Neurospora crassa OR74A: one gene and its partners. The protein of the gene in region 3 interacts with the protein of the main gene of each other region in a biochemical or structural test. Links are inferred from orthologs where the notes say so. Each region holds a gene or a part of one and is shown on either strand. Other genes may lie near its edges.

The links.
Region 1: of the proteins of NCU04370 (region 3) and NCU08345, one has a biochemical effect on the other in vitro, tested with the Schizosaccharomyces pombe proteins (3 studies listed by BioGRID). The link is inferred for Neurospora crassa OR74A from reciprocal best matches to the Schizosaccharomyces pombe genes uba1 and ubc11.
Region 2: of the proteins of NCU04370 (region 3) and NCU04513, one has a biochemical effect on the other in vitro, tested with the Schizosaccharomyces pombe proteins (2 studies listed by BioGRID). The link is inferred for Neurospora crassa OR74A from reciprocal best matches to the Schizosaccharomyces pombe genes uba1 and ubc14.
Region 4: of the proteins of NCU04370 (region 3) and NCU03623, one has a biochemical effect on the other in vitro, tested with the Schizosaccharomyces pombe proteins (2 studies listed by BioGRID, with this or other methods). The link is inferred for Neurospora crassa OR74A from reciprocal best matches to the Schizosaccharomyces pombe genes uba1 and ubc7.
Region 5: of the proteins of NCU04370 (region 3) and NCU02113, one has a biochemical effect on the other in vitro, tested with the Schizosaccharomyces pombe proteins (2 studies listed by BioGRID). The link is inferred for Neurospora crassa OR74A from reciprocal best matches to the Schizosaccharomyces pombe genes uba1 and ubc13.
Region 6: of the proteins of NCU04370 (region 3) and NCU10046, one has a biochemical effect on the other in vitro, tested with the Schizosaccharomyces pombe proteins (2 studies listed by BioGRID). The link is inferred for Neurospora crassa OR74A from reciprocal best matches to the Schizosaccharomyces pombe genes uba1 and ubc8.
Region 7: of the proteins of NCU04370 (region 3) and NCU02289, one has a biochemical effect on the other in vitro, tested with the Schizosaccharomyces pombe proteins (3 studies listed by BioGRID, with this or other methods). The link is inferred for Neurospora crassa OR74A from reciprocal best matches to the Schizosaccharomyces pombe genes uba1 and ubc4.

What each region holds. Positions count from the first base shown.
Region 1 is NC_026501.1:5,678,599-5,681,725, reverse strand, and holds NCU08345 (ubiquitin-conjugating enzyme E), read right to left. Parts: upstream 1,855-3,127; 5' UTR 1,597-1,854; intron 1,543-1,596; 5' UTR 1,424-1,542; coding exon 1,347-1,423; intron 1,340-1,346; exon of another isoform or gene 1,257-1,339; coding exon 924-1,256; exon of another isoform or gene 862-923; coding exon 759-861; 3' UTR 501-758; downstream 1-500. Other genes in the region: NCU08344 (60S ribosomal protein L31), read left to right, coding at 87-290; un-1 (serine/threonine protein kinase), read left to right, coding at 2,112-2,192, 2,511-2,587, 2,648-3,127. UniProt on the Schizosaccharomyces pombe protein: Catalyzes the covalent attachment of ubiquitin to other proteins.
Region 2 is NC_026504.1:3,125,485-3,128,938, reverse strand, and holds NCU04513 (ubiquitin conjugating enzyme Ubc14), read left to right. Parts: upstream 1-1,216; 5' UTR 1,217-1,658; coding exon 1,659-1,685; intron 1,686-1,814; coding exon 1,815-2,402; 3' UTR 2,403-2,954; downstream 2,955-3,454. Other genes in the region: NCU04512 (hypothetical protein), read left to right, coding at 1-401. UniProt on the Schizosaccharomyces pombe protein: Catalyzes the covalent attachment of ubiquitin to other proteins. Mediates the selective degradation of short-lived and abnormal proteins.
Region 3 is NC_026504.1:3,604,205-3,608,406, reverse strand, and holds the start of NCU04370 (ubiquitin-activating enzyme E1 1), read right to left. Parts: upstream 2,801-4,202; 5' UTR 2,431-2,800; coding exon 2,425-2,430; intron 2,316-2,424; coding exon 1,936-2,315; intron 1,871-1,935; coding exon 1-1,870. Other genes in the region: peptidyl-prolyl cis-trans isomerase fkr-3, read right to left, coding at 3,669-3,696, 3,803-3,844, 3,996-4,016, 4,085-4,145.
Region 4 is NC_026505.1:1,883,387-1,886,351, forward strand, and holds NCU03623 (ubiquitin-conjugating enzyme E), read right to left. Parts: upstream 1,834-2,965; 5' UTR 1,448-1,833; coding exon 1,201-1,447; intron 1,080-1,200; coding exon 826-1,079; 3' UTR 501-825; downstream 1-500. Other genes in the region: NCU03622 (UBA/TS-N domain-containing protein), read left to right, coding at 1-125, 234-335; NCU03624 (hypothetical protein), read left to right, coding at 2,199-2,965. UniProt on the Schizosaccharomyces pombe protein: Catalyzes the covalent attachment of ubiquitin to other proteins. Functions in degradation of misfolded or regulated proteins localized in the endoplasmic reticulum (ER) lumen or membrane via the ubiquitin-proteasome system.
Region 5 is NC_026501.1:1,237,598-1,241,387, forward strand, and holds NCU02113 (ubiquitin-conjugating enzyme E2 13), read right to left. Parts: upstream 2,375-3,790; 5' UTR 1,824-2,374; coding exon 1,771-1,823; intron 1,696-1,770; coding exon 1,607-1,695; intron 1,498-1,606; coding exon 1,366-1,497; intron 1,284-1,365; coding exon 1,102-1,283; 3' UTR 501-1,101; downstream 1-500. Other genes in the region: NCU02112 (hypothetical protein), read left to right, coding at 3,098-3,790. UniProt on the Schizosaccharomyces pombe protein: Has a role in the DNA error-free postreplication repair (PRR) pathway. The ubc13/spm2 heterodimer catalyzes the synthesis of non-canonical poly-ubiquitin chains that are linked through 'Lys-63'.
Region 6 is NC_026506.1:3,266,913-3,270,019, forward strand, and holds NCU10046 (ubiquitin conjugating enzyme Ubc8), read left to right. Parts: upstream 1-1,348; 5' UTR 1,349-1,435; coding exon 1,436-1,449; intron 1,450-1,510; coding exon 1,511-1,548; intron 1,549-1,650; coding exon 1,651-1,765; intron 1,766-1,924; coding exon 1,925-2,106; intron 2,107-2,171; coding exon 2,172-2,311; 3' UTR 2,312-2,607; downstream 2,608-3,107. Other genes in the region: NCU10045 (pectinesterase), read right to left, coding at 3,102-3,107.
Region 7 is NC_026507.1:3,039,406-3,043,069, forward strand, and holds NCU02289 (ubiquitin-conjugating enzyme E2), read left to right. Parts: upstream 1-1,177; 5' UTR 1,178-1,564; intron 1,565-1,781; 5' UTR 1,782-1,857; coding exon 1,858-1,901; intron 1,902-2,123; coding exon 2,124-2,169; intron 2,170-2,301; coding exon 2,302-2,515; intron 2,516-2,586; coding exon 2,587-2,726; 3' UTR 2,727-3,164; downstream 3,165-3,664. UniProt on the Schizosaccharomyces pombe protein: E2 ubiquitin-conjugating enzyme that catalyzes the covalent attachment of ubiquitin to other proteins. Mediates the selective degradation of short-lived and abnormal proteins. Mediates ubiquitination of pex5.

The DNA of each region.
Region 1 (3,127 bases), on a different chromosome or scaffold from region 3:
AGCTATGGGGACGACATTGGAGCTGGGGACACAGCGTGGTCAGTTTGAACGAACACCAAAGACTGACATGACTCTGTGATTTATAGGGTACCACCGATGTCCGCATCGACCCCCAGCTCAACAAGAAGGTCTGGGAGCAGGGTGTCAAGGGCGTTGCCTACCGTCTCCGTGTCCGTATCTCGCGCCGCCGTAACGACGAGGAGGGCGCCAAGGAGAAGCTCTACAGCTACGTCCAGGCCGTCAACGTGAAGAACCCCAAGGGTCTCCACACCGTTGTCGTTGAGGAGTAAATTTGGGTGTTCTGGCAAGACGAATTTTTGGCACGAAGGGACCGCGGTTCAGGTTCAGGGCGGCATTGGGCTTCCGGAGTTTTCGCATGGCATCTAGCTTCGCATTACGAATAAAGGGTTCGTAAAATGGAACACGGCACCTTCGATACCACCAAACCGCCTCCAGCAACGATGAGGGAAGACAATCGCAGTGTGAGGGCGTCGCAGATGGTCAGGCAGGGGCTTCGTCATGAAAAATGATACGCTCTATGGACGATATACTGTCCATTACAACCAATGCTTGATGTACTTCATAAAGCCAGTCTGCAACCGGTAGCAGACGCGAGCAACAACGGGATACCCATTAAACAAACCCGCCCTGATAATGCAATCCTGTTCCAGAGACCAATACGCCAGGGATTCCAACCTCGAGAATAAACCAATTTCTCCCAACCCAATGCTCTCCTAAACTGCTCCTGCATTTTGCCTTCAGTCGTCGTCAATGTCCCTGTGACGGTCCATGACCTTGGTCTTGAACAAGGTCGGGTCCTTGTCCCAAAGCTCAGCCGCCTCGCCGTTGAGCGGGGAAGCACTGTGATGGGTGTTAGCTCTGATCTCGTAGAAATTGAATGAGAGAGCATGTGAAGTCCTTACTTGTTCGGCTCTCCAAGCAGGGATTGCAAGCTCAGAAGGACGGTCTGAGTGTTGTAAGCAGCAGTCCACTTATCCTTGAGGATGTCGAGACAGATGCGTCCAGAAAAGTCCACGTTGGGATGGTAGATCGGGGTTCTGAACAGCACCGTAGGCGGCGCGTAAGGATAATTCGCAGGAAATTCAAAACTAAGCTTGAAGGTGAGGCCGGCATAAGGGGTATCCTCAGGTCCCTCGATGGTAGCCCGCCACGAAAGGAGATTGCCGTCGGCAGAGGGGAAGGCAGACACGCCCGGCGCCGGCGATGTCATTAGCTGCATAAGCTCCGTCTGCAATCTGTTTGCAGTCATTAACAGTCAGTGGCCGATACATCAACATATTCATTGTCTATCAAACATGCACCAGCTCAGTGAAAAGTGGACTGACCTCTTGACGGCATTTTGACTGGGGTCGATATTCTTCCTAGCGCCAAAAGTGGGCGCAGAGTTCTGGATATCTCCCATGCTTGGTGTAGGATAATCGGTTTGTGTCGGCGAACTGAAAAGCAGGCGAAGAGGCTAATATCGCAAAACAAAGAAGACCAATATCTGTTGGATAATCGAGGTGAAGGTTGATAAAAGTACTAACTCAACAGGTTAATAAAGACTTATGAACCGCGAGGTGAAGGGCGACGTACCTGCAACCAAGGAGGGGCGGCGCCAACCTTAGGAGATGTATGAAGGTTGAGATGGGGGATGGGAGGCGCAAAGAACAAATGTAGTTTGGCAGTTGACGCCAAGCTTGGAGGGACGGAACTGACGAGATGCAAATATTAAATATCAATGTTTACACGACTGCAGAAACGAACCAGCCTCCAATAACCCCACAGCTGACTAGGTTACCGCGGGAAGGTCCCCAGCAACCGTGACGGGCCCGAGCGTTGCTGTCAGGGGAAGGATTTAAGGGCATGCATGAACTTCTTTGCAGGTTCCCAGGCCGCAAGGCGGGCAGTCGCGGCGCGTGGAAATAGTGGGCAGTTCGCGCTCCAATCCCTCAAGGCGCTTCCCGGATCCCCTTTCTCAACCAAACAAACCGGGACACTGGACGAGGAGTCATCACCTTACCAACACGCGACCTGCATTTGCACGTGAAGTGTCCATAGTGTTTGTACAACACCCGCCAGAACAGGTGAGGTTAGCTCAGTGTTCACATATGTATGGTGAACGTCTGAATACGCGACTCTCTTCCTCTGACACGCTCTTGGCATTAACCGGTCTGTTGTCCATCAAAATGGTGAGTGCTTTTTGCCTCCACCTTTCCATCTCGATTTGCGCTTTTCCTTTTTAGGAACTTTGTTTTGGTTTGATACTTCTAGGCGGCGGCTCTCGCCACTTGCTTGCGCCAGGCATCAGCCTAACACTTATACAAACTAACCCAACCACCATTTTTGATGGAAACACACACTTGATTGCTGACTGCGCACGAACCGACGGAGCGCATTCCTTTAAACCCTTGAACTCTCTTGAAATCCCGCATATTTTCGTCTATCTCACTTGTACTCCAATCTTCGTAATCGTAATTGCGTCCGTTGTTGACGGCAAAATGCAACAGTCTCAGCTGGACCCTCTTCCTTCAGATCTTCCTTTCCGCATCATCTCCAAGACCATCGGACGGGGAGCATACGCCTCGTGAGTGCTTTGATCCCTAACCCATCGTGCTGCTGCGCTTTCACTGACCAAATGTCTCAGAATAAAAAAGGCGATACCCCTCGACGCACCGTCACCGGTATTTGCCGTCAAGCTCATCCACAAGGAGTATGCCGTAAGACATGGCAGGATATCGGCGAAGCAGATTGCCATGGAGGTATCGCTACACTCACATATTGGCCAGCATCCAAACGTGATTGAGTGGTTCGCTACTGGCGAAGACAGGATCTGGAGATGGATTGCCATGGAGTATGCTGAAGGAGGTGACCTTTTCGACAAGATTGAGGCAGATGTTGGCCTGGAGGAGGATATTGCTCACCTCTACTTTCAGCAACTGATCAGCGGCGTCAGTTTTATGCATTCAAAGGGCGTTGCCCATCGCGACCTCAAACCCGAGAACATCCTCCTTTCCGAGAGCGGCATCCTGAAAATCGCAGACTTTGGTATGGCCACCATGTTCGAATACAAGGGTGCACGAAAACAAAGTTCGACCATGTGCGGGAGCCCGCCTTACATCGCTCC
Region 2 (3,454 bases), about 480 kb from region 3:
AGGGAGATGAGGATGTGGATGTGGATGAGGAGATGGAGGATGGGGAAGGCGAGGAAGATGTTGAAGAGGGCGAAGAGGATCATGAAGACGATGAAGATGTTGAAGCTGAAGAGGAGGACGAGGAGGAGGCCGAAGAAGCTGAGGAAGATGTAAGGCCAGGCGAGCATAAAGATGATGTAGAGGAAGGCACAGAGGGAGAAGAAGAAGGAGAAGAGGGGGGTGAGGAGGAGGAGGAAGAAGAGGGTGTTGAAGACGCAGAGGATGAAGAAGGTGATGAAGAGGAGGAGGAGGCAGATGAGGAAGAAGGTGATGAGGAAGAAGGCGAAGGCGAAGAGGAGGAGATTGGGGACGAGGATACGGATGATGAGAGTGAGCATGACAGTTCGACAAGGGGAAATTAGGGGCCTCTACCTCGGTTAGGGTCTCTACCTTGGTTAGGGTCTCTACCCTGGCTAGGGCCGTTCGACTCAAGCTCAGGGTCATCGAGCCCCGGCGAGTTCGACGAGTTTGTCGACTTTTGGCGCCGGTGACGGAATCCCAGAATATGACACACCAAAGGTTGGTGATGGCGACGCTGGATCTGGAGTAGAAATCTTTTCGGGAGTTTATCATTAGGAAGAGCGGGTCTTGCCCAAACAAATTATTGGTCTTCACTTTTTGTCATTGCTCAGGTGTGGCTCGGCTTTCTACTTCTCATAGACGTACGATATACTTGCAATCTCATGGTCGAGGTACTGTGGTCTTCCTCGCCGTGATTGCTACTGTGAAGTATACCTAGTATACTGCAAACCCTAACCCCCTGTATCCGGCCCAGAGTTTGTGCCTGCCGGAATCCGGTGAGGGCCTTGATGGCCCAAGTCCACGTCTCGGTCAGTACTATATGTACATGGAGATGACACCTTTGAAATCCTCTAATCAAGATTTTGAGCATACTCGCTATACCATGGACCTGAGCTCTAAGCAGTTCCTGAAGCGGAGAATCTCCAGGGAGCTCCGGTCGATGTGCTTTCGAATTATAGTGACCCCTATCACAGATTGGTAACGGCCTTTCCAAGCCAAAGGCATTCACATTCAACATGCTGGCGTTGCATCACCCGCGGCATGGACGGCCCCGCTCTGGATGCCACCACAAATAGCCCCACAGTAAACCGCCCTACCGGTCTTGGCAGCACTTGCCGTGGGGCGTGGAGTGCTGCAGCCTTGACGACGGAGCTCTCGCTCTTTCTCCTTCGTGGACATCAGTCAGCATCCTCTTTCAACTACTAGCGTGTCAACAAGCAACAAGAACATTCAGTCATATCCGCAACTACTATAAGAGACTGTTCGTTGCGTCGTCACTTTTACATCCCTGCTTTGCCCTTTTTTCCCCCCCAAGCAAAGAATACCTCACCAGCCCAGTCCGCTTACCCCGCCATCAACACGAGCACGCAAACAAGCTTATGCACGCCTTGTTTGTTGACCAACGTCACCGCCGTCGGTCATTGTACTAGGTCACTTTGAGTCTCACAACTGCCAAAATACATTTGAGGTGGTCAGCATCTGAAGTTGAACATCTCTACCTCTTATCCCTCCTCACTCGATACATCCATCAGTCATCGTTGGGTACATTCCGTCCAAGTACTACTTGGTTTAGTCGAGTGTGTTACCTACCAGCAACCATGGCCTCCACGAAGCGCATCGCGAAGGTAAATATCACATCGTTTGCCCTGCCTTTTGAACCTGACGACATCCCTAAAGAGGAAGAAGAAGGCGAAGGAAAATATGAAATAGAAGACCCACGAAACTAACCCTATTTTTCTTCCCCCTCCGTCCAGGAATTCGCAGACTGCACCACCGCCCCACCCCCTGGCATTTCCATCACCCTCCCCTCTGACGCCGACCTACACACCTGGCACGTCACCGTCACGGCGCCGCCCAACTCCGTCTACGCCCCCGGTCGCTTCGGCCTCATCCTCAAGCTTCCCACCGATTACCCCTTCAAGCCTCCGACCATCAACTTCACGACGCGCATCTACCACCCCAACATCACCAACGACTCGCTGGGGAACATCTGCCTGGGCCTGCTGAAATCCGAGAACTGGAAGCCCGCGAGCAAGATCATCAGCGTGTTGGAGGCTGTGCGCAACATTCTCGTCGAACCGATGCCCGACGACGCGCTCGAGCAGCGCATTGCGGATGAGTATCGGAGGGATCGGCCCGAGTTTGAGAAGAATGCGAGGGCGTATGTGGAGAGGTATGCAAAGGGGTCGGTGAATTTCGTGCAGGCTCCTCCTCCTCCGGAGAAGAAGGATGGTGCGCCTGCGGGTGCTACTACTACTGGTGCTGTGAATCCTGGTCGCGCTGCTGGTAGGCAAGGAGGTGCTAGCTCGGGTTCGGCGTCCCGCCCTGCTCCACCTGCGTAGGGGCAGGGGCGTGGGTGGTAGGTGGCTGCTCGAAGATATACGCCTTTTTGTCACTTGATGGAGCTGTTCAAAATGCATAAGCGATGACACAGAGTCTCTGTGATGCGAGCGACGTGATGCGTAACGGGGATGGGAGGTTAGTGGCAAGGATTCTTTAAACTGCATATGTGCGACACGATTAGAAGGAATCGAAAGAGACCGGGTATGTGGCAAGCTCGTTACCAAAATAACTGGACTTGATGGATGAGGCTAGCATTAGGCTGGAGATGGTTATCGAAGGGAAAAGTGTTTAACCAGAACTGGATGTGGCGATCACTGGACGCCTGGGTTGGTCTGAAAACTGCTAGACATCAATGCAAGACAAGGCCAATAGTGATAGACATCATTGATCATGGGAACGAAGAGTGGAGGAAACACATCGCACTGGCTCAACTGAATGATGGAGCAGGCATTATTATGAGGCTCATAGCAATGTCTAATGCGAAAAGTCCGGGAAATTAGATTTGAGCCATTCATCCCCCCCCTCCAAAAAAGAGTCACAATGATTACCCACTTTTGCTCCATTCAAGTCATGCTTAATTGTAGTGTACGTAGTTCAACTTATGCAATATGCTTATGCCTATGCCTATGCTATGCTATGCTTTCGAATCTCGAACTTGTCCCCTTCATAGCAACTCCGCTCTCTTTTTCTCTTTCCCTTTCCTTCCGCCTGAAACCTTGACCATATGTGCGACCTTGACTGAATGAATAATCCTTGCCTTTGCCTTTACCTTGGCTCCTTCTAAAAGAACAAAACCATTCCGCGTATTTTTTTGAGATCGATCCCCTCTTCCTCTCGTGTACATACAAACGCAGAAAAAAAAAACAATCAAATGAACAACAACAACAACAACAACAAGACACAAAGCGCCGCAACAACCGCTTCCCGACCGCCCCAAGGAAGATATGTACAAAGGAAAAAGACAGGGAGATGCGCCCTCTGCAAGAGGATGTGGTTGGTAATGATAGAGATTGGGGGGTGCTATAAGGCGCATAGGCTTCAGCCTGTGCAT
Region 3 (4,202 bases):
ATAGTTGAAGGCATGGAGGTTGGTAGCAGCCTCGAGGAAGCTAAAGTGGGTGGGGTTTTCAGGGTCGAACTTGAGCGGGTCAGGGGCGCGCTTGGGTCCGGACCAGAAGGGGGTACCGGTCGAGGACACGGAATCCTTGGGGAAGTTGTAAAGGAGCTGCTGAATAGCGTTGTTGTACTGCTTCTCGAAGAGCATGCGAGCCCATTGGACACAATCCTCAAAGGTGAGCGGGCGCTCGTGCTTTAGGAAGTCCGCCAACATCTCCAGCGTCGCCTTCTCGTTGCCACTCTGCTTCAGGGTAGTGTCGAGATAGTTTGGCTGGGTCAAGTAGAGGTTGACGGTCTCCGCAGGCTTGACAAATGAGCTCTCGAACAGCTCACGAGCCCAAGCAATGGTGTGCTCGATCTTGTTGGGGAAACTCCTGAGAGTGCACATGGGGAACGACTGCTCAGGAGGATCCTGGGAGGAAGAGTAGGACTCAGTGAGCCTAGGAAGCACCACTTGCGTGTTGCCCTTGGTGCCGAGGGTACCACTCTCAAGGAGAGGCTTGTGGAAGAAAACGCACCGTCTGTCGACATACGTTCTCGCCTCAACGTTGTCCAGCGCGTTAGTGACGCCATCCAAACCCTGCCAGAACTCCTCATTGAAGATCTCCTCGGTCTCGGGACTAACGCGATCCTTGAGAGAAACAATGTGGCCTTCGAGGTCAGGGTTCATAGCTTGCGCGGCCTTGGCCGCGCAGTCACTCTTCATCTGACCAACGTCCTTGGGACGGAACAAGAACTGTCTGTTCAAGTTGGACTTCTCGATCGAGTCCATATCGGTAACGGTAATCTTACCCTCAGGGCCTGTTCCGAGACCAATCATGGCCCAGTTCTTGAGCATCTCACAGCCAATGGCGCCAGCGCCAACAAGGAACTGCTTGACGTTCGAGATCTTCTCCTGAAACTCCTTACCAAAGACCGCAATCTGGCCGTCATACCTGCTACCAGTGGGCGCACAGAGTTCCTCGGTGCGCTTGGAGTTGGTGGGAAGAGCCTCGAGCGCATCGAAGTACATGAACTGCTTAATGGGGTGGAACTTGCCCGAAACAGCCTTGAGGACTTCCTGGGCAGTAAGGCCACCGAAGAAAGCGGCCATGGGGTTAAGGTCACCAGTAGCCTGGTAGCTGAGCTCCTTGAGAAGCTTGTCGTCGAACTCGACGTCAACACCCTGCTGCTTGGCAAACTCCTTAGCCGAGGCGATAACCACAAGCGCATCCTCGTCGTTCATCGGCCTTGGTAGACGTCCCTGAGACTTGGCGAAAGCGTGGAGAGCCTGGAATCCAATATGAAGCTGCTGAGGGCGATCGAACTTGGCGAAGTCGGAGATGACAAACTCGGGATCCTTGAGCGCGTTGGTAATGCTCTTGAACTCGATGGTCTTGGGCATTTTGACCTGCTGGTAGAGACCGCCCTTCTTGTACTGGCCAAGCCCCGACACGTCGCCGATAGAGAAGGTGTAGGGGCCCTTGACGGTGACCTTGCGGGGCTCGCAGCCGTTGAGTCCCTCCATACCCTCAACCTCCGAGAAGGTCACATAGTCGCCATCCTCAAGTCCATGCCTGGTCTCGTCAAGCGCAGAAACGAGACCCTCCTCGTCGATGCCAGCCACGATACCGTTAACGGGGTTTTCGCCGTTCGTGTCCATGACAGTAAAGTTATCGCCGAAATCACAGAAGATGCCGCCAAAGAGACCGTGTGTGTTGACAGCAATAAAGTAGATGCCCTTGGAGTGGCAGTATTCGCCGACAATAGTCTGGAGATCGGTGTGCTGGTTCGTAAGGACGACGACTTGGTACTTGTCAAACTGCGACAGGTTATCGGCGAGACTGTACAGAGGCCACGGTTAGCTACCGAACCTGTCAAGCTCACTCCCGTCCGGTTCATAACCTACCTTGGCGACTGGTGGATGTGAACGGGGGTATAAGCATTGAGCTCAGCAACGCGGGGAGCGGTGACCTGGTCGCGAGGCTTGCCGACATCCTCAGGGCGGAGGAAGAACTGGGCGGAGAGGTCGGCCCAGGCGGCGGGCTCGGGGTCGTGGAGGGTGAGGCTCTTGACGCCAGCAAGGGCCACGTTCTTGGCGATCTCGACGCCGAGGCCCTTGAGGCCGACGATGAGGACGTTGGAAGCGCTCATGCGCTTCATGGCCTCGTGGCCCAAGACATAGAGCTGGCGACTGTAGAGGGACTCATCAATCTCGGCCGTGGTGCCGGCTACTGATTCGTCGACTTGCATCCTGGTGACAAGGTCGACCTCGTTTTTCTGAGTGTCCTGGGAGATGGGCATCACGAAAGTGTCAGACTGACTGGCGCTAGCTACCAGGAACAAGCATCTGCCATCCCAAGTAGGATTCATGTAGACAAACGGGGTTTCAACTCACTGTCATGGTTCTCTTTAGAGAGATGGGTAGGTCCCCTTCGGATACTTTGCGCTTCCCCAGCTTGGCGACTGTTGATTACGGGCGGGCCGGTAGATTATAGATGGTGGAAAGTTCGTGACGCAAACAGAGCAAAAACAAGAACGAGAACTGAACCTAAAGTTGTTGATTCGCAGTGGTCGGGTATTGTGATACTTCAAGTTGGCGATGTTGGTCCAAAGAAAACGCCGATGTTGTAGTTGAATGACTCGGGAAAACAGACGACGGATCAAGCGCAAGTGCTACTATGTCGTACTATGTCAAGGTGCAAGTGCAAGTGCAAGTGCAAGTGGAAGTGGAAGCTGTCTGTAATCTGGAAGGTCGGGCGGCGGGGATGTCGAGGGAGGTTCGGTCAGCCCCGCCACCAGCTGTCAAGCATCAAGGAGAACTGCGGGGAATGGTGATGTGATGCACTGTCCGTCGTTGGCCAAGCACCTACCGCTGCAGCGTGCAGGTCGCTGTACTGCTGTTAGTGCAGTGTGCTGTAGCCTTCACCGTATGCGGCCTCGCACCTATTACTAGGTTGTACGTCTGGAAGTGGCTATGCTAGCTATGTACCTCTAGGTACCTCTACCTCGACCCAACCTCGTTTCACACTGGCTGTGCCCTGTCTCCTATCTGATCGGATAAACCTTGACTCAGAGTCTCATTGATGCTGAAGGGAAGCCAATATGTATTGTGGTTCACGCGCGCATGAACCTGGAAGGAACCGTGAGGACAGCAATAGAAGGATCGAATCATTACTAACACCCCTGGCAGTAGACGGTACGAGGCGGTCATGCACTAGAGGTACTTGCCCGATGTACCGATGGCGGTAAAACGTACTTGGTACAGTAAGCAAGGACCAGCCACTCAGCCCATCCGGCAGGCAACTTGTGCTCTCTTATCGTAGTGAGCCAATCACATTCAATGAGGCGCTTGTAGGTACTTCTCCATATTAACATAGCTGCGCGGGTACTTCAACCTTCCCTGTATCGCTTCAACCTCCCGTCATTCAATTAATTCCTCGTCTTTACCCATCAAGGTTCCTCGCAACGTAAACACCAACCATCTGTGTTTTCGTCATCGCCATCACCGACATAAAATCTATCTTCCCAAAAGAACTTCAAGTTCCAGTGGTTTCTTGCCCAGCGGTCCCTACTTTGGCTCGTTGGAGGCGTTGAACTAAGGACCTCGTCTCCTTTTCCCGAGATCAGTGAACCGCCCAGCTACTGGAGACCCTTGAGATATACGTCACTATCACATATTAGCTCGTATCCTTGCTGACGCTATCTTGCCCGCCGCTACCTTGACTGTAGAGACAAGCTGGAGCAAGATATGTGGCATACAGGAGACAACTCACAAGATCAAATCTGCGTTCGGAGGAATGTGGCCGTGAAAACCCCTGGTGTGCAATAAGTCGGGTCAGCACATGGGCATTAACTCCAAATCAGCACGGCCAGAAGTATCGTGTCTGCGGGTGGTGTTACACCATATAGACTGATTTTTTTGGATTTTCAGAAGAAAGAAAAAAAAAAGGCCTGCAGGTTACTCACCGCTCTCCGTATCCGTAATCACTAAAACATATTGTCTCGTCAGTATCAATTTCTTCCCCTGACACATCGTTCACTCACGAATAACTCACCTAGAAATATCCAAAGTGGCTTTCTCGCCAACCTTCATTTTCAATACAGCCTCATCCCATCCTATGCCCGTCACAAAAGCAGCACGTCAGCATAAAGTCTCCGATATATGAAAAAAGT
Region 4 (2,965 bases), on a different chromosome or scaffold from region 3:
CGAGTTTGGATAATGTGCTGTGGGAGGGGAGCGGGTGGAAGAAGGTGGGATTGCATGAATTGGTGGTGGCGAACAAGGTCAAGATTGTTTACATGAAGGCTATCGCAAAGTGTCATCCTGATAAGGTAAGCTTTGTCTTTCTTTTTTTTTTCTCTTCCCCTTTTTCTGTCTTCTTGGAAATTTGAAGTGAATCAGAAATATCCGGGATGGTTGCTGACGAAGATGATAACCAGATTTCGACGGATGCGTCAACCGAGGTTAGGATGATTGCTGGAACGGTATTTGCCACGCTTAATGAGGCTTGGGATAAGTTTAAGAAGGAGAATAATATGTGAGTGTAAGGGGCGGGTGGAATAGTAATGGGTTGATGAGAAACGTAGGGGGGCGGAAGGGTTAATGTTCTAAACTGCTTATTGAGATATGATACCTATATTAGAAGGAACGGGAAAGGAGTGCTAATAAACCTCAAGCTACTTGTCTGCTGTAGACATGTCTCTGTTCGAGCGGACAAGGCGAACGGAGGTCATATAGAAAACATCATCAACATGGGAATAGGAAGTTCGTCATTATTATCCTCAAAGGAAAACACCAGTGCCATGCCATGCTAATAAAAAAGTATACCTCAAACCACCACCCTTCCTCTTGTTCAAAGTGCTTAGTCACTCCGAGATTCTTTTACCACCCTTTACCACCACCACCACCACCACCACCACCACCACCCCCGTTCTCGCTCTCTATCCACGAAACCTTCTTCAACCACTTCACACAACGAACCCGCCCTTCCATTACTCTCTTCATCCTCTTTCTTCCCAACTCTCCATGCCCTTAAAGCCCCAAGCTAGCCCTCACACTAGCCTTCACCCTCGCCTCGTACTCGCTCCTCTTCTCCCTCCACATCTTGGCCGCCTCCACGTTCGCCGGACTCTCGTCGTTAGGCTCCGCCAACATGCTCATAACAGATAACAAGATTTTCTCGACGGACTGAATAGGTGACCATCTCTCCGAGGCAGTCTCGTAGTGGTTCGGGTCGTCGCCGGGTGGGTGGAGGATCGAGATGCAGACCAGACCTGAGGGGTAGACTGTTGGAGGGTTGATTTCCGTTAGCACTTTGCATGCCTGACCACCACAGATGGTGAGAAGAACCAAGTGAAGGATAAGAGAAATAAAAAAGGAAGAAGAGGAAGGAGAAGAAGAACACACCATTAGGATGGAATATATCCCCCAGAAACTTCATGGTCGGCGGCATATGCGGGTAATCGTTCGGAAACTTGAGTTCTGCGGGGAACACGCCGCCCTCAAAGGGGGTGCCTTCGGGCCCTTGGATCAGGCATTCCCAGTGCAGCAGGTCGTCTTCGGAAATGGGGCCCGCGGTGATGCCTTCGGGTGGGTTGTTGGTTAGAGCGCGGTATTCTTGGAGGAGACGACGTTGGGCTACGTTGAGAGACATTGTAGCTGTTGGTTGATGGTGGGTGTTGTTGTTATTGTTGGGGTCCTCGTGTGGTGTTGTTGTTGTTGATGATCGAGACGTGGGGCTCTCTGAGGAGAGTGCCTCGGGGGCGGTACTGTGTTATGGATATACGCTTTGGTGATCGGGATGGGAATCGCGTGGTGTCGCAAGCAGTTACTGTGGGTTGGGCATATGGTTAAGACGAAGGTAGATATGTCGTGATCTACTTCTTATCGATTGTTTGTTTTGGTTTAAGAAACGAAGTGTCGAACTGAATCGATGCATGCAGGAGAAGCGCGGAGGACACACTGGGCTGCAGCGGGGGTTGTCAGCGGCGCAGTTGCTTGACACGTCTGACGTCGGTCCGCTCGGCGGGGATTGATTTCCATGGGACGTCTCGGGACGGGAATTGGGGAAGCTGCTGCTGCTGCACCACAGGGGCCATACATGCTAGGGCCCGGGACCCTTCCAGAAGCGCCTACGACAGGTACACCAGCCGGGGGGTTCTAGCGGCCGGGTGTGCTGTTTCCCTTCCTGAGCTGCCGGCCGGCAACCTGAGAGCTAGACTACCTCTAGGGAGGTAAAAAAAAGCTCTCGGTCAACCGCAACCGGCTTCCTTGTTATCGCAATTGGCTGTTATCGCATCTGCCATTCCATCTATTCTTGTTTCGGTTTCGGAAACTCGATGGCTCGTCGTCGACTGGGAGCCACGCCGCTCTAGCTTGCCAACCTCTCACCTCGTCAGCCAGCCATGCCGCCAACGCTGGGCCTACGACGGGCTTTACAGAGCCGCGGCCGCGGTCTCGGGTTTGGCCAGCGGACAGTACCGTCGTCCGTATGTCTCTTCTGTTCCTTTGCGACTCGGCCTTCCACTTTTCCCACATCGTCACCACTCAACAAGCTCCGGGCAACGAGGGCAAAACCACAAGAAGCGCCGGCTGTTCGACCACGATACCAATCGACCGGCGCCACCCCGCTCCGGCCCTTCATAAGCACGCCCTCCGACGCCGCCGATGCCGCCCCGGCCGAACCAGAACCAATTGATCCCCGCAAAGACCTTGAGAGCGCTCTCCGCGACTTACAAACCCTCGCACCCAACCACGTCAATCTTCCGCGCCTCCAGCTCGCCCTACGCAACCTTAGCCAAGATCCCGGCCATGAATCGATACGAGTCGCATTCCTCGGCCTCACCACCGGCGACAAGCCCCAACACACTGCCAGGGAGCTGCTCCGCCTGGCACTCGCCGATCCGCTGAAATCCGCCCAAAACTGGGAAGCGCAACTCAAGGCCCACGACCCCTCCAAGCCGCTCATCGTACACATCGGCCCTCCCGAGGAGCAAGCCACGCCACTGTCGCTTGCCGCGAGCGAACATGTGATCCCCGAAATCACCGTGCCGTCGCACATCTACAACGATGCCAACCTCGAGATGATAGTCATGGAGGCCGACCAGGCAACCGTCGCGCAGGCGGGCGAGCAGCCACACACCTTTGACGAGGCTATCCTCGTGCCCGCCGT
Region 5 (3,790 bases), on a different chromosome or scaffold from region 3:
CGTCCCAAGTCGGTCCATCTGTTCAGTCCTCTTCCGCGGCCCTCCTTTCATCCCTCCCACCCATCCCAAAAAAAAAGGGAAGGAACTTGGGGGTTCTAGTTCATGAATGGAATTCCTCCTGTCGCAAATTCCTCTGTGAACCTCCCTCCCTCTGATAACTCCCTTGGAACCATCCATTCCATTCCGATGGCTACCTAACCACTCTATGTATTCTATAGTAAAGTTTTGGACTTTGCATCCCGGCTGGAATCCTCGAGATTATATTAACAGGTTATAGGTGTCTATTCAAGATGACTGCAGGTATCAGTGTTTTCGCTTGTACAGAAGCTAAGCAATCAATCGTGTTCGTACTTACTGGTTGTGAAGATGGCCGGTGTCTTTCAGTATAAACCACACCGCCCTTCATTTTATATGTGTTATCGTGAGTTTATTGAAGCTTACCGCTACATCTGATCCAAAGGCTCATCCACCCCACTCACAGACGCAAATCCGAACAGTGGTCATGTTGCAAGATATGTAAGTAGTATTTGAACAGCCCTACCCGGTACTCTATCGCTGCGAAAAAAACAACACCTGAAAACACAACGCTTCGAAAGGATGTTCTCTATGTTCGAAAACTCCTCCTTCTGGTGTCTGCCTTGGCGCCGCGTGGCGCTGTTGCATCCACCATGGCATCCTTCACTCAACCCATCATACGTGCCCCTTCCTCGTCCATCGATCCAGTATTCGTTGTCTCTCCTTATCTCGTGTAGCCTTCCCTTCCTCATTCCCCTCTCACGGGCTTTCTCTTTGTGCGTTCCGTATGCACCCTAGGTGGGTGCATGATACACCACCAGCGCCGTGCTTCACACAAACACCTAGACCAACTTCTTCCACTGCTTTCCCTTTATGATCCTCTCTGTTATTTTGCCACAGCCACTTGCTGGCCTTGGTGATTCATCTCTGCTTCAAGACCAGAACAACCAGCTGCTCCTGTCAATTGCCGTCCTAAGGCCCAAACCGATATGGGTCAAAGTTTCCTCCATAAGGGTCATATGTCGGCGCGTGAGCCATGAGGCCCTGTCCCGGGATTTCGTTGATTCCTGGTGCCAGCCTCCGACCCTACTGGGATGGCAAGGCGTACTGCTGTGTCCATTCCCGGGCGGTGGCGACGGCAACGCTGGGGTTCTCCTTCCAGGTCTTGGCCACGTCGGGGGCGAGCGGGTCGTCGGGGTTGGGGGCGCCTAGGAGGGCTTGGATGGAGAGGAGGATGGTGCGGATTTGGAGGGCGGGGGACCAGTTGTCTGTCGGGTTTGGTATCGTGTGTTAGCTTTTCGGAACTGGCGTATCCAACTATCGCGGCTTTTCTTTCTCGGGACTACTCACTCTTGAGGACGTCGAGGCAGATGCGACCCAGCTTGTCGACGTTGGGGTGGTAGATCTTGGTAAGGAAGCGGATCTTGGGAGGGGTCATGGGATAGTCATCGGGAAGGAAGAGTTCGAGCTTGAAGACACCACCTGTGTGGGTGTTTGGTTCTCCTGTTAGCGATCATGTGGTATGTTCTCATGGCGCACGGAAGGTAAGAGATGAATGTAACGGCAGCCGTGGGGTTCAAGGAAGACCAACCCTCATATGGCGATTGCGAAGGGCCGTGGATCTCGACGTCGAAATAGCGAAGGTTGTCTTCGTGGGGAACAGCACTAATACCCGGGACACTGCGATCAGGAAGGAGAAGTTAGGACTTTGGTCTAGACTGTTTGCTTCTCGGGATGAGGATGGTATGTACGTACGGCTCCGCCATCAGCCTTTCGGTCTCTTTGACAATCCGCTTCGGAAGCGCCATGGTGATTAGATTAATTGCTGTTGGTGTTTAGTGCGAAAGGAAGCTCGACAAGCCAGTGGCAGAAATGGTGGTGAGGAAAATGTTTGTCGCTGAGGCTGGGAGAGACAGGAGGGCAAGTGGAGGGGCTATCGCCGATTGTTATGCTGGATGTCAGAGGGCAGTTTAAAGAGGCGTTTCGGAGGCTCCGGTTGACAAATCGAGGCAAACAGTAACGAACAGTGTACTGCGCTATCACGGTGCGAAAGGGCCTGTAAATAACCTAGGGAATGTGTGGTAAAAGCGGTAGTAGAGGTACGTAGGTAGGTAGGTATGGCTAGACCAAAATCGTCGCAAGGCAGTCGATTCTGTTCCTTGTGAACTTGTTGGAGACAAGTCGAAATCGGCAGAACCTACGGTAATCTCTTGCGACACGGGCAATTATTCACGAGCAAGGCGGGACGGGAAGTTCTCGATGATGGAACGCGGAATGGAACTGGAAGGCAAAGTGGAAGAAGGTCGGGTGTGTGGGATGCGCTGACGAATGAACCCGCGGCGTGCCTCTCTGACCAAACCACTGAATGCCCTGTGACAGCGGTCACGGCCCTGACAGCGACAGCCAGAGGTGGCCTACCTAGGTACCTGGGCTAGAGGCATGCGGATCCATGTGATGGGATGGAATCGGCTTCCATCATCCATTCCTCTACCTAATCGGGATCTCGCGATAAGCGCACAGACCACATGATCGAGAAGGTACCTCCTACCTAGTGTAGTGTACTGGCCAAAGTCACTGCCACTGCACCGCTGAGTGAGGTGCCGTTCGTGTCTCCAACTGTTCATCGGCGCCTTGTCGAGGTTGACGCCGTTGTCAGGTTGACCTTCCAATTGAAGAGAAGAGAGAGAGTGTGTGTGAGAGAGAGAGCTGAGAGATTCTCCATCTTGGTCGAACGGTTTCTCCATTCCACGTCCAGTTGTCTTCCAACCTGCCGGCCTTCACACTTTCTTCCGCTGATATCGACGCCTCTCGATATGTTTTGCATTGATCGACGACGACGACCTCCTGTGATCATTTCGGTTTGCATTCGACTTCACCATTCCCGAGACGCCCTACGAATGCCAGGTTATTCGTCCTTGGGGGACCTGGTCTAGTTCAACATAAAGTCTCGTCAAGTCCCGTCAACTCAACTCAACCCAACTCATCCTTGGTTTACCACTTCAGTCAAACTCCAGCACTGAGAATGGGATGAGGGAGGATACGCACCATGCTGCACCGTCTCGTCCAATCCTGATCCCGCAATATGCCCTCCGTATTTGACTCTCCGCCAAAGAAGGCGAAAACAATCAAGTCAGCCTTCGACAGTGAGAGCTTCGATGCCGACCTGACCATCCATGTTGATGGCTTGGTGGGCTCCGCCACCATCTCACCCTCGGGCCGTGATGTTGCTCTTGCTTCCCCCGAGGGCCTCGCCATCATAGACCTGGACTCGCCATGGAATCCACCACGAAGACTGAGCAGCCATGGCCTCCCGTGGCTGGTGGTCGATGTTCAATGGTCTCCCTTTGCAGCTCGTGACTACTGGGTGGCTTCGACAGCAAACCATCGCTGTCTGGTATGGAACCTCAACATGAGGGACGACTCGCCCTCTGGAGCCATCGAGCACTCGTTGCAAGCCCATAGTCGGGCCATCACCGACATTAACTTTTCCGCTCACCACCCAGATCTTCTAGCCAGTTGCTCAGTTGACGGTTATGTTCATCACTGGGATCTGAGAAGACCGAGACAGCCTGCTCTGTCATTCTGTGACTGGTTTGCCGGTGCAACGCAGGTCAAATACAGTCGTCAAGACCCTCATGTCATTGCTTCGGCTCACGATCGATTGCTTCATATCTGGGACGACCGAAAGACTGTCGAACCCCTCAAGACCATTTGTGCTCACACGTCCAAAATCTACGGTATCGACTGGAATCGGACTGATGCCCCCTGCCTGGTC
Region 6 (3,107 bases), on a different chromosome or scaffold from region 3:
TGCTTCCTTTTCCCCAGACTTTCCCGCCATTCACAGTTGAATCTTGACGTCGGATCGCCGGCCACCTTTATGGACGCAAGGCCGATGGTGGGTGACGGTATGTTAACGGGGTTGATCGACATGTTTCTTCATTGGCACTACACACACACACACACACACACACACACACACACACCATTGTCAAGATTGTTGGGATATCCCGAATTTGGATCCGAGTCAACTCTTATATGTCTGTTGAGCGGCACGGAACGCGTTCGAGATTATACGATCCAATACAAGGATGTCACCTACCTCTTGGTAGCTGATGATGCGCCGTTCTTTATCAGATGTTGCTGTTGACCATTGTGTCTGTTGTTGGTGACCGGATTTGGCTTGGAGACAAAGCAAACATGTAACACTACCCCCGAAGTGTACCTTGCGGTTGGTAAACTCGCCTTCCCATAATGAGAAGGTTGACTGGAGTTGACTCCTCCTCCCGCTGTCCCGTCATTCCCCGTCCTCAACATCTGAAGCACAACAGCCGGTCCCGAGTGACCGCCAATGAATCATTATCACATCCCTTCAGCGCATGACCATCCCCACTCCTGGCTGCTTATCATTCGCTCGCGGCCGGCAAATGCACCCCTGGCTGCTACCACCTGAGGAGGTCAGCGCTGTACGGTAAGCCTGACGTCGTGGACGATCGTCGCTACTGCGGGCGGGAACGTGACGGGAGTGCGACTTGTCTCATTCATCCCACTTTGTTCCCAACTTCGACTTTCCGACCTGAATAATCAATCAAACTATCGACACTTTGACAGATCAGCTTCAGTGCCTACCTATTCGAGTCTATTCGCGATAACCTACCCGCCATATTTGGTTGTCAGCAACGCCCAAGCTTCGCTTCCAACCCACTTCGGCCGCAGCTGGGAGACCAGACGAGAGCGACATTGCATCTCGCCACCACCCGCCGACCACGCATCCAACTGCCTACTCCCGCATTCTGCAGTCTTGACACTTGTCATCCGTTCACAACATCGAATTATACGATAACGCGACTGCTTGCGACTTCGCTTCAGATTGCCTGCGACAACTCGAAGCTAGTTACCACTTCATTCTTATCAAAAAAGGCCGAACCGAGCGCGAGTTTCTGATAGACAACATGAGTTCCCCACGCCGCCGTATCGAGACAGATGTGAGTTGCGATAGTGTTCACCTTCAGTTACGAGTCAGGGACACACGTGCTAATATGTACATTGATAACAGGTCATGAAGATGTACGAATCCCGTCCTTACAAAGCTCCAACAACCCTTTCCCAAGAGCGCACTGTTAACACGACTGATACGACAGGCTCATGAGCGACTATGAGGTTACTTTGGTGAACGATAATAGTATGGATACACCCTTTCCAACTCCCTGTAGGAAACATTCAACTTCCGGTTTCGGAGCGCTAACATGGAGAATGCAGTGTAAGATGCGACAACTAAATAATCCGAGCTGGGTTGCTGGGCTTACCTAACAATACAACAGGCAGGAATTCTATGTGAGGTTCAAAGGGCCTGCCGAAAGTTTGTCTACCCAATATCTTCCATTCCCTGTCTCACCTGTGCTCAAGTCGCCATATGTATCTCGAGGATCTTACAGTCACTAACACCAAGCCCTCCCTACAGCACCCTTTGAAGGCGGCATCTGGAAAGTCCGCGTCGAGCTACCCGATCAGTATCCATACAAGTCCCCTAGCATTGGCTTCGTGAACCGAATCTTCCATCCCAACATTGATGAGCTGTAAGTGGGGACTGATACCAAACTGATTGCACCATCCGAGGAAACAATCACGACAATACGTTGGGTGGGCTCTGGTTCGCCGGGGAGAAACAAGCAACAAATAATGGGCCACTCGCCGCAAAAGAGCAATTGGGGCTAACCAAATACGCCGCATACCAGATCCGGATCGGTTTGTCTAGACGTCATCAACCAAACATGGTCGCCAATGTTCGATATGATCAACATCTTTGAAGTATTCCTGCCTCAGCTTCTACGTTACCCGAACCCTACCGATCCTCTCAACGGTGAGGCTGCTGCGATGTTGCTCAGAGAACCCAAGACCTACGAGAACAAGGTGAAGGGTATGTCAACACATGAAAACTGCTTTGGAGTACAGAAAGGGGGGAAGCTGAAATTATTTTTGCAGAATATGTCCAGAAGTACGCGAGTAAGGACGCCGCAGACGAGGCGGACGCAGAAAGTGAAGACGACGGCGAACTATCATCCGTGGCTAGTTTTGACGAGGAAGACGACGAAGAGGCCGCCGGTAAGATGGACGACGTCTAGGTTGGTAGTCCCCCCACGAATTTGAGGGCTCTTCGAATCCTGAAGGCTCTTCAAATTTTGAAGGCATTTTAGGCCGTCTTTTCGTCACTTCGCATTTGTCAGCGGCAGGAGTTGTTTTCTCCGGGGTGTTCAAGGGCCTCTGTTTCGAACCGGCGTTGAATAAGGTATCTATGGGTTGGGACGTTTTTGGTTTGCTTAGGTCACTCGCTTTGTTTTCTCCCCTCTGCTTCTAGGACTGTTTATACACATTATCATCTCAGTGCAAATCGTTATACCATTCCGTTAGAATGCTTTGGCTTTTAGTGCGTTGCCTTTATGTGGAAAAACAACCAGCTCTTGTCAGTCTAGTGATGCTTTCCTGCTTTTCCTGCTTGAGGAGGCTCAAGGAGACTCAAGTCTAAACCATCACTGAGGCACAGTTGAATCGCAACAAAGTTTAAATATCAATCCCCAGCTAGGTGTGAAAAGTCGTCACAACAAGATCTATTACAGGGTGATCTGAGGCCCGCGCTCAATTTTTTTTTTTTTTTTTTCCAAAGTTTTTTTTTTTTCCAAAGTTTTTTTTTTTTTTTTTTTTTTTTTTTTTTTTTTTTTTTTTTTTTTTTTTTTTTCACAGTCATTTTGGCATCAGCTGGGGACAAAACCTTTATTTATGTTATTTTAAATCCTGATCCGTCGTTGCGGTCCGGTTTGACAATTGTCTATTCGAATTCAAATCCTTCCATTAACCCACCTCCCATTTACTGCCTTCCTTTCCTCCCCTTCCCTACCCATCGAGATCCCTCCTAACTTACAT
Region 7 (3,664 bases), on a different chromosome or scaffold from region 3:
GAGAAACACAAAAGTCAAGACTGTTGAATGAAGGAAAGGAACAAGAACAGGCCACCCTGAGAACATGAAGGGGAGAACGAGTATTTATTCTCTGACTGGACAAAAGAAATGTGGCCATGCAACACCATCTGCGGAGGCATAATTTCTGGACAATTTCCAAGTTTGAGGATGCGTGACAGAAGCCAAGCCCTTAAGCATCATGCACCCAACTGTGAGATACCTGCAGCCGAATACTCACGAGCACAATGAAATGAACCTTTCATGTACATTGTTAGTCTAATTACCTAGGTAGGCACTTAGTTTTGTTGATAATGTCACATTTATTGATACCATTCTCGTGGAGTGCATTGCGACGGAGGTCCGACTTGCACCTGAGAATATGCAACATGATGGATGAGCCGGATTTCATGCATAATCACCTCATATAAAACCGCTGCATTTACCCACCTCTTCCACTTGATTTAATGCCCGGATCATCATATACTCACTGCCAGTTTGTACTCTTGTGGTTGGATGACTCCGTGTCCGGCCGTCCGGGGCCGAGAGGTGCACCATTGCTTGCATATTTGGTACGCCCAAGACCTGAACCCCAAACTCGAAGCTGGCCCGAAGAACAGTTTCAACAACCATCGTGCGAATATCTGGAGCATTCCCTTTGGTTTTAGCAGAGCCTTCAGTTTTGAGAGACATGTATAACCGGTTCCCTCTTCCTTCCATATCAGCCTAGCCAAGTACTACTGTACTTGTCGGCCCCCAACCACATTTCATCCATGGTCAATACCTCTTCCACCCAAGTTTTCGATTTGGAAGAGAGTGACTCCCCGCTTCAGTACTAGTTTGGACAGGTCTTGAGCGAATCATCGCAATGTTCCAGTGTGGTCGTCGTCGTCGTCGTCGGTCGTCGTGGGCTCGTCGTTGGTCGTCGGTTGTCGGCTTTCCAGCTGCACCGGCCGGCAAGTGTTGCCGGCGGGAGTCTTCAGTCTCGGAATGAGCTCGGCCATTGCGGTGGCGGTGCACTGACGATGACGAGGTAAACCAGTGGCGCTGTCCTTTTTGGGCTCAATGATTGGTCAACTTTGGGGGGCGTCAAACCACCCCTGCCGGCATCCGATCTGAATTGCCAGCCGCCCATGCTGCCCAGGCCAACAGACATCGGCAGGCGGTCATGCAGCAAGAGCCTTGAGTGGTCGGCCACGGACAGCGCCATCGGCGGGCAGTGGGCAGAGCGCGCCGTAGGTAAGTACCTAGCCAGAGAGACCTGAGACTGCCCCTGCCGTGGGACTGGTCGGGTGGGTGGGACAACCTCACCAACCTCACTGGGCCGGGGGGACTGGCTTCCTCAGGCTCCCGTCCCGCCCGCTGGCACCTGAACGGGAACCCACCTTTGTTCGCCTGATCCTGATCCATTTCCCCCCCCTCCGCCATTCCATCCTACTCTCCTGCAACCGACTTCGACATCAACTACCAGAGTTTGCATCCCGTCACCATCTTCTCGCCTGTTGACGAAACCCACCCCAATACCGTGGTGTGACTCAGCGATATAGTGCTTTTTGCTTTCCATCTTGTAAGTCGAACAGACCGCCGTGCTCTCGTCCGCTGCCCATTCGTGATCGACTTTTTTTTCTCCCGTTTGCACGACCGACGTGCCCAGCGAGTATTATCGCAGCAGCAGCCAGCCAGCCCACCAGCCTTGATTCACTCACTGCCCACTGCCCATTCATTCCGCTTCTTTGCTCTTCCACCGCCCGCAAACGCTGACCCTGACCCTTTAAAACTTGCAGCCACACTTCGTGTCGTCAACGCAACAGCGATTACGACAACCACAACCACCTACCTTTACACAACTAATATCACACAATGGCGTTGAAGCGCATTAACAAGGAGCTCGCTGATCTCGGCCGGTACGTAAACACGAATCCCGCTAGTCCTTTGCCGTCTCGCGCGATGCCGCAAAAGCGTCATTCCGGCGCAAGGTTCAGTGGTGGGGCCGCGCTGGCGGGGTTTGCGCCGCTGCCGTCGCCGTCGCTGACCCTCGCGCCGTCTCGAACCGCTTCCGCAGACGCCAGAGATGCATTCCGTATCTGCTGTCGTCGAATATGATGCTGACGTGTTGTTGTCTGTAGCGATCCGCCCTCCTCTTGCTCTGCTGGCCCTCAGGGTGAAGATCTTGTATGGATAAGCCACCCCGCTTTTTCGATAAGCACGGCTCGACCCCCGGCATCGCGTCATGACCTTTGCCGTGGATCGAACCGCGTGGCATCTTGCTCGCGAACAGGCATACTGACATGCTCGATTGAATAGTTCCACTGGCAAGCGACCATTATGGGCCCTGCCGACTCCCCCTACACCGGCGGCGTTTTCTTCCTCAACATTCAGTTCCCTACCGACTATCCTTTTAAGCCTCCCAAAGTCAGCTTTACCACCAGAATCTACCACCCCAACATCAACTCGAACGGCAGCATCTGCCTCGACATTCTGAGGGATCAGTGGAGTCCGGCGTTGACGATCTCCAAGGGTATGTTTCTCTGTGTCCATGCTCTTCTAGCTAGCGCCCATATGGTCCTTCGGCTGCTGACAAGTGTGCAGTTCTGCTCTCCATCTGCTCGATGTTGACGGATCCCAACCCTGACGACCCGCTTGTGCCCGAGATTGCGCACGTGTACAAGACAGACCGCGCCAGGTACGAGGCGACGGCTCGCGAGTGGACCCGGAAGTATGCTATCTAGAGTAGATAATGGGATGGATTTATGGCCGACAAGCAGCGCTGGATCGTTTCTTCAACGTTTTGGCTCCTCTTTTGGAGGGGCACCCACATATTCACCATGGGAGCACGAGTGTATTGTGGTTCCGGTTCGCGTCCTATATTCCTCTAGGCCCAGAGGGAATTCCCAGCTCTCTTCAGTGCGAAAGTTGCAAATGCCATTCGAGCGGCTCGAAACAGTGGAGGATGGGGGTGTGGCACAGCAAGCGGTGTCTTTCGATGTCACGACAAGGGGCGGGGCGGAATCAGCAGGCGCAAGATGTAACCATTGCGTACCGGCACTCAAGTTTCTTTGCTCGCATCACATTATTTACAAAGGTCTGCAATACCAAGGGGTTCCAGTACAATAGCATTCTGTCTTTCCCTCTATCGTTCCTGATGTTTGGCCTGTGCTCTATCCGTGAATGACGTTCCGCTCTCCATGTGCGAGTATGGTATCGGGCAGTTTGCAACTAATGAGCCCGCTACTGACCTTGATAGGTATTCGAAGTACCTCTCAACTTTGGTCGGACGAAGTGCGCGAGACTTGTCATCTCCTTGACATGTGGTTCAAGGCCCAACAGGCTGGCCAGAGAACTAGTAGGTGACTGAGTAGCTGTCATATCTTTCATGTGGATCACGAGACAACTACTCTCATCATAGGCCATGATAGTGAATCTGTAGGTTAGGTTCTCAGGCTGGCTTTGGAAGGGCAGTCAGAGAGAATGTGAGCATATCAACAAGAAGTCGATGGTACCGGACGGCAACGACTTGCCGGCGTTGGGACCTTGTGTGCCCGGCTCATCGGGCTGACCCTCCCCGCGGTTACGCTAGTTGTGGTCATGCTGAAGAGTGACCCAGGGCATGCATGCTTCCAAGTCCTCAAACTGAACTGAGGCGATAACGGGCTGGTTTGAGAGTTCG